Linked DNA regions of Oryzias latipes. The protein of the gene in region 1 purifies or fractionates together with the protein of each later gene. This does not show direct contact. Links are inferred from orthologs where the notes say so. Each region holds a gene or a part of one and is shown on either strand. Other genes may lie near its edges.

Region 1 (3,563 bases):
CAAGCGCAGGAAGGATCTGGGTAAAAGTTTTGCTCCTGGCTTCTTATGTTGTACTGTGGTTATAAAAGTGTTGACAAAATGTATTTTTTTTTGTGCACAGTGATGAAATACAGAAAAGGGGATGAAGACACGTTCATCGACAAGATCTCCAAGCTGAGCATGCACTCCATTATTAAGAAATCCAACCGTGTCAGCAGCCACCTCAAGCAGCTCACAGGAATGGCACCTCAGGTAGGGATTAAAAAAAAAAGGTTTTGGACTTTGTGATTTTGGTTTGTTTTGCTCTAAAAACTCCTCATCTTTTTCCCAGTTTAAGGATGAAGTGTTTGATGAGGCTGAAAAGAAGTTCAGACTGCAGGAGAGACTGATCAAGACGTTTATCAGAGACATTTCCTTATATCTGCAGCATTTAAGGGTAAAGAAACTCTTTTCTTCTACAAAAAATGTGTGAAGTACAATCACAAAAGAGGAAAGATTGATTGATTGATTGATTTTATTTATTTAAGTGTCATGCACTAATGTGCCCAGCCCACACGGGCTTATGTGACACTGAAAGACAAAATACATGATACATAAAGAAACATGCCCATCACAAAAATCCAATAACCCTTTGCCTTTGACACAAAATTTGACAAACAAAATAGGGAAGAATATGAGAGAATAATGTTGTTATATAAAGTTATAAAGTCATAAAAAATTATGAGGAAAAACTATAATATTTTTTAAATTTGAGAATTACCAGAATAAAGTTAAAATTATCAGCAAGAATTTGTAAAATTATTTATTAAAAAAATACATTTACCAGTAAAAAGTCGTAGAATTATGATAAAAACTCTAAATTTTTATAAGGGTGAAGTAGTCAATTTATGTGAAACAGTTGTACAATTATGAAAAAAATGCAACAATTTACCAGAATAAAGTTGTTAAATGTTGAGGAAAAAGTCTAAATTTTAGGAGAATTTTAGTACTTTATTCTTGTAAAATTTTGAACTTTTTCTTATAATTTCATGACTTTATTCTCGTAACATGTCGACTTTTTCCTTACAATTTAATTACTTTAGTCTCATATGTTTGTCTATTTTTCTTCTTTTATTATAGCCCTGTGTTTTAGCGAGGGATTTTTATGCGGAAACGTTTTTCTTTGCAGGAATCTGCCTCGGTCAAAGTCTTGGCAGCCATCAGTTTCTGCGACATCTACAACGAGCGCAGTTTGATGGACCCCGAATGTTTTCAGAGAGCTCACCGCTGCATCAGCGACAGAAAGTTCACCCAGTTTGTGAGTCCTCATCTTTTTGCTTTCACACGACCAGCTTAAACAACAACCTCACCTCCACCTCTGCTGTTCTTCTGAGCAGAAGGAACGCACAGAAGCTCTGGTCATCAACCCGCTGACTCAGCTGCTCGCCATGTTTGCCGGGCCTTACAAACTCATCCAGAAACGCTTCGACAAGCTGCTGGACTACGACAACTGCAAGGAGCGAGCTGAGCGCCTGAAGGACCGCCGCGTCCAGGAGGAGCTGCGGGCGGCACGCAATAACTACGAGGCTCTGAACGCTCAGCTTCTAGACGAGCTGCCGAAGTTCCTCCAGACCGCAGAGGAGATGTTCCTAGGCTGCGTTACGGCCTTCGCTCAGGCCCAGAAAGACTTCATGAGGACGACGATGGAAGAACTGAAGCCGCTCCTGCAGGTATTATTAATCCACCAGACCGAGAAAATACGGTTAATCATCAAAAAAAATGATTGAAAATGAGGCAACAAAACTATAAAATGCTTGCCTAAACAATCGTTTAAACTTAAGAGACAGAAAAGTGCTCATCAAAGTACAAAAACTAACGCAAAATCTGAAAGAAGATGGGAAAACAAAAAGTTTAAGATATTTAAAAAAAACAAAATATCTAGGAAAATATTCATTTTTGCTTGTGTTCTTTTCTTGTTTCAGCAGTTTTCAAACAAAGGGGCAACGAGTGGAAACCTAATCGCACAGTTTCAGGAGGAGTACAACTGCGTCCTCCGACTGCTCCAAAGCTTCAGCTTCTGCCCCGAAAACCTGCCTCTCACCACGTCCACAAAAAAGCCAGTGGAGAAGAAAACTCTGGACAAACAGACCTCCAAAAAGCAGCTTCAAGGACCTGTGAGTTCCCAGGATTTCTTTATATTCGAATACTTTTCAAAAGTTTCTCCTCTGAACTGTCCATCTTCTTCAGCCTAACTGCAGCCTGCAGACAGATGAGCACCGGACGGCGCTGCTCGTGCGCTACGGCCCCGAGAACCTTTTCCAGGCTGAGAGGAACTTCAACGCCGCCCAGGATCTGGATATTTCCATACAGGAGGGGGATCTTGTGGGCGTGATCAAGCAGCAGGACCCCATGGGGAGCCAAAACCGCTGGTTGATTGATAACGGAGGTAAAATATTTCTTCTGAACTTCATGGAGAAAAGGAAAATGTCCTCTGTTCGTCCCGCAGCAGTCCTGGATGGCGTGGATCAGATTGTTTTTTGCAATTTTATTTGCCCAACTGTACGTTTGAGCGAAAATTTCACCCCCGCCACATAGTCAAAGTCACAGCAGGAAGTCAACATCAAAAATACAAATGGGACCACTGACTTACAACCTCAGCTGACATTTTGTTGACCTTTAACCCCAGTAATCGGTCTCCATCTTTAGTACCTTCTACAAATTGAGACTCCTCCAAGGGATTTGAATCTATCGCCTCCTAACCTCCTTGAGCATCTCTGGGAAGCTACTTGGGTAAAAATTGTTGGTTTTAAAGTTTGTCCTTTTTGAACAGCGTTCGTTCGCATTGTGAGCTCGCAAAAGTGGCGTTCCCCTGTTGCTCGAGAATATTGCGAAAATGTAACACATGAATCGATGGCTCAAGCTGAACAAAACGACATGACATACGGCTTCAACGTATTAGGAATGTGGGCGTGGTTAACCAAAAACCTTGGTTGCCAAGGAAATTCAAACATTTATTTTAGCCGATTCTTCTAAAAATTGCATTGATCTGTTCGTCACCCCCAGGTGACCAAAAAATAAAATGGTTGCTATGGAGTTGAGGCCAACAGAAAGCCTTCAATTTGTTTTTAATGAAAAGGAATGTTCAGCACTGACCAGGGTGGCAGAGGCAGCAGGGGAGAGTGAGGGGTGTGTAGCGCTGGGTAGCCAATGAGAGTGGCGGCCTATGGCTTTAATTCATTTTCTTTTTCTGCCTTTTTCTTTCTTGCAGTTACAAAGGGGTTTGTGTACAGCTCTTTTCTCAAACCCTACAACCCGCGCAGGAGCCACTCGGACGTGTCCATTGAGAGCCAGTCCTCCAATGAGTCCGGTTATGGCGGCTCCTCCCCCGTTTTCTCCCGCCAGAACAGCAGCAGCACCCTGACCTTTAACCAGGATACGGCCACCGTCAGCTTTTCCACCACCCAGCCCCAAAGCCAGTCGTCCCCACACCCGTCTCTGGACTCCGCCTCCTCTCGCAGGAGCCAGCCCCGGGACGCGCTCGATTCCGGCAGCCAGAGCAACTCCATGAGCTCCTCGCCCCAAATTCGCTCAGACCGCAGAGACCT
Region 2 (4,351 bases), on another chromosome or scaffold:
CAGACTCTAGAGTTTCAGCTCTAAAGTGGTTGGTTTCAAGATTTTAATATTTGTTTTAGCCCAAGCTGTTCTCACAGCAATGGGAGAAAACCAATTGTTTATCAGTAAGAATTATTTTTGATTTACAACTGGCCCTAAGTTCATATAAAAAAAAAAGAACATTGTATCACTATTTCCCCAGATAAATGTCCAAATGAAATCACGTTATTACAAGCTTACATTTCGTCATTAGCCTGACTTTTGTTGACACCATTTTTGTTGTATAATTTTTGTAAATTATGTAAATATAAAACAATCTACTATATCTTATTTCTTTTATTCAGCATTTTTCCAGCAGTGCAATATTTGACAAATACCACAGATATGCATAAATACCCATTAAACTCAATACCTCTTCGATGTAATAAAAATACATTTGACAAAACACTTTTTCTTGGTCATGATTAAGAGACTGAATGTTTGAAATTTTGAATTTGTCCCATCCTCTCACCATTGGGTCAGCAGCCACCTTTGTGCCAAACTGGGTTGCAGGGTTGGCTGATCACAGACAATACATGTAGAAAAATCTAACAGGAGCAAAAAAAAAAAAAAAAAAAAAAAGACAGAAAGAAAGAAAAAATAAATCGTAAATATTTGCTTGTTTCTAAGGGCAGCCTTTGTTTTTAACCCTTTGATTTACATAAGAGAATGAATAAATATTGACCTCCGTAAGAATGGGAAAATAGAAAACTTTTATATCAATAACGATGTAGATATTTTAAGCAAATCATGTCATCTTATGGACTACAGGGTGGCTTCAGGGATTTTGTGGTCTTCAGCCGTGACATTGGTGTTAAAATGGAGTCGGTACTCACTGTTTTTTTGTTTTTTTCTTTTCTTTTTTTTGTTATGTTGTGTTTTCTTTTACTGACAATATACCCTCATGTTTGCATGTGCACGGAAATTTCCCAAAGTGCTACCTACCCTCTGCAGGTGGTCCTTATTTCTTTATTATGCATGAAAAAAGTCACTTTGGGTCAAATAGGACAAACATAACAACAATGCAAAACAGAAAACGATGGAACATACATTGGGATAACTGTTTAGTTGGCTTTTTTTTTCTTGTTAAGAAAAACAGTGGGTTTTGTTCAAATGTTTGGGATGTCTTTAGTTTATCTCATGTTTTTATTACCTTATAATAAGGTCCTTTTGCAACAAGAAATAGTTGTACAATATCCTTGTGGTTGGGGGGATGAGGTGCTCCCCTGTTTACATGACACTTCTGTTTGTTGTAATGCAATTGTTTTGTTATTTCTATGTAAGTACTTGAATAAAAAACATCACCTGACTTCAGTTTACTAAAAAGTCCTGACAAAAACGCGCACTAAAGTTCACGCGCGCACACGTAGATATTCAGAAATAAAAAATAATAAATATATACGTTGTCTCAGATATTATATATGTACATTATTTTTTTGTCATATATGATTTTGACTCCTATATGTGAAAACCTGATGTTAAAAGAAATCTTTTATTAGAGGAAACGTGAACGTCTGCGCTTTGGTTCACTTCCTGTTTGAAGCTCGAACGTCGAGTAGTACGAAAGGTATGTTTGCTGGGAAATAAAGAATACTGCTGGGCATAGAAGAATAAAAAGAACTCCCAAGATGAGCTGGTACGTATATAGAAGAATAGCTAATGTTTTGTTATATTTTGTAATATATTGTGGGTTATAATATCTGTGTTGAAGGACTTGCTTTTTTTCGTTTGGATCCGGCTAGTTCCTGGAAGTGCTACATAAACAGTACTTCAGACATGGAGTTAGCTTTAGCTTGTTACACTTGAGCTGTCAATCCGAAACTTTTCTTTAGTAATACTTTCGTAGATATTTGACTTGTGTACTTTGTAAAGAAAAAAGAAAAAGAAGAGCAGTTCCAACAGCTACACGATTGCCTCAAAAAAAGAAAGAAAAGAAGAAAAAGTCGTGTAGCTTCTTGCTAGACTTGTCAGGTGACGTTAGTACAACCTGTCAGTCACGTCCTTCAAAAATAGCTCTTCAAAAATGTTCCAAATGTTAATTGTTTCTCTATATGTTCGTATAATAAAGACGCAACGCTGTGCTTTAAGCCAAAAACATAGATTGTTGCTAAATCACAGGCTAGTAAACCTTTAAGGATGTGGTGTCACTGTCATGGCTACCACCTGAATCTTAACCTCTTGAATTTATTTGAGACTTAAGTTCCCTTAGTTTTTAACTATGGAAACCTACATTTAGCATTTAGTTATAAAAATAAGGATGAACTAAGTTTTACTTTGGTTTCCTTCGTTTATGTTATCTAAGTGATAATACACAAAACATTGAAAAGTATTAGATTTTTGCCACATTACGGTGTCTGGAAGTAAACAAGTAGTCTTTAATTCTATATCACTTTTTACATAGTAAAATAACAATAAATGGATATGTGAAGCATAACATTGGAACATGAAACCAAATGAAAGTTTTTACAATTGTTAAAGTTAAAGATCCAGTCCAATGAAAATCGTGTTCTTGGTGTGTTTTTTTTCATGTTCTTGTGGCATTTTTCTCATGATGGAGGACATGCAGACCGTCATCCTCACATACCCTGGAAGAAATTATGGAAAATATGAATGATAGCACAAAAACCTTTTTCCACTCATAGTTGGTGGTTGGGTGAAGTCATTTATTGTAAAAAATTTAAAAAATATATGTTTACCCTTTTTAAATCATTATGACAACAGAAACTTCCCAAATATTCTGTTCAAAAGTCTACATACCCTAATGATTTTGTTCTGAAAACATGCAGACAGATTGATACAAAAGAGTTTGAATGACAGCTAAGTTTGCCTGTAATCAATGTGTGTCCACAAAAGGTCTTGGAGTTTCTGAGCTCCCAACAAACCCTTGCATCCTTCATCCAGTGCTGCACTGACATTTCTGGATCCTTAGTCATGGGGAAAGCTGCAGAATGTGGCTTAAAAAGGGTAAACAGAATTATTTTTTACAGTAAATAGCTTCAACCAAACACTTACTATGAGTGGAAAAAGGGTTTTGTGTTATCATTCATATTCTTTGAAAAATGACGAAGAAATCATAGTTTCTTCCAGTGTATGTAAATCTATGAGCACAACTTTAAAGAAAATTAGATTTAAAATTGTAATTCTGAGTATTTCTTTATTTAAATCATTGGGAATCAGAAGCAGAAGAAAAAATGTAGTTTGAAAAAGCTTGTAGCAGTGTCGTAGGATCTACAATGGCAATCCACTAGCTCCCTGCTCCTCTCTATTTTGATGCATTCACTTGTAGACGACAAGATCCACATACTACTTTGTTTTCTTGGCCGAGCTGAGATCTGACTCCAAACTGTACGGCTGGATATCGTATTTTCACAACCATAGGGCGCACTGGATCATAGGGCGCAGTTTCAGTTATGGGTGATTTTTCTGTAGGAGCACCAGGTTTTAAGGCGCGGGCACGTTAACACATATCGGTAAAACACGCATGCAAGTGTGTGTTTTTAAAAAAGGCAGCTGGAGCAAAACTGAGTTGGTTGAGATTTATTTTTTTTTTTCAGTCAGCAATAATCCAAAATCCATCAAAGTCTTCATCTTCTGTATCTTAAATGAACAGCGGGGTTAAATTTCTGTCCAACACAGCAGGTTCCCTTTCGTTATTGTCAGAGTCCGTCTCGTTGCCGTGCGGCTTTAGTCGAATGGTGACTGTAGAGACGCTTCTCCCAGTTTTTCTCTGATCGTTCATCCATCGCTCGAGTCGGTCTTCTAACTCGGGCCACCTCGCCGTGTTTCCACAGAAACTCAGCTGCGTCTTCTTGACTTGTCGGAGTTCGTTTTCTAGCTTCCTCCACTTGCGAACTATATATTCATTAATTTTGAATTCTCTCGCAACTGCTCGATTCCCATGTGCCTAAGGTTGCAGTTTATACTGTGCTTCATAAGTGTGTCTCTTTGCAGGTGGCATTTTCAGGGTTTCCAAAACGATGTTCTGCATAATGCACATACCTGCACTTTAGTACTATTTGGGGGGGGGGGTCTTCTTCTTTCATGTCCTCACTTCCCTCCTTGCCGTTGTCATGCGTCATCTCCTATGTCCTCTTCACCGAAGGCACGCAACAACACATTAGGCGCACCACACCGTAGGGCACTCCGTACATTTTGGAGAAAATGTAAAACTTTTAGGTGCGCCTTATGGTCCTGAAAATACGGTAGTTCCAAAATTGCTTTCCTTTTTTGTTGCACCTGTAATGTTAGGATGGGGGTCCAAGGAGCTGTAAGCTAGCGGGGGAGAGTGTTAAAAAAGGGGTGATGGGAAATGGGGGAAGGCTTACTCCGTGGC

What was found.
Region 2: the proteins of dnmbp (region 1) and bin3 purify together in Homo sapiens (co-immunoprecipitation; 5 studies listed by BioGRID and IntAct, counting the BioPlex papers as one, with this or other methods). This does not show direct contact. The link is inferred for Oryzias latipes from reciprocal best matches to the Homo sapiens genes DNMBP and BIN3.

Annotation. Positions count from the first base shown.
Region 1 is NC_019877.2:5,335,551-5,339,113, forward strand, and holds part of dnmbp (dynamin-binding protein), read left to right. Parts: coding exon 1-20; intron 21-100; coding exon 101-231; intron 232-310; coding exon 311-415; intron 416-1,147; coding exon 1,148-1,276; intron 1,277-1,355; coding exon 1,356-1,688; intron 1,689-1,940; coding exon 1,941-2,132; intron 2,133-2,205; coding exon 2,206-2,404; intron 2,405-3,226; coding exon 3,227-3,563. UniProt on the Homo sapiens protein: Plays a critical role as a guanine nucleotide exchange factor (GEF) for CDC42 in several intracellular processes associated with the actin and microtubule cytoskeleton.
Region 2 is NC_019867.2:16,934,957-16,939,307, forward strand, and holds the start of bin3 (bridging integrator 3), read left to right. Parts: upstream 1-1,531; 5' UTR 1,532-1,646; coding exon 1,647-1,654; intron 1,655-4,351. UniProt on the Homo sapiens protein: Involved in cytokinesis and septation where it has a role in the localization of F-actin.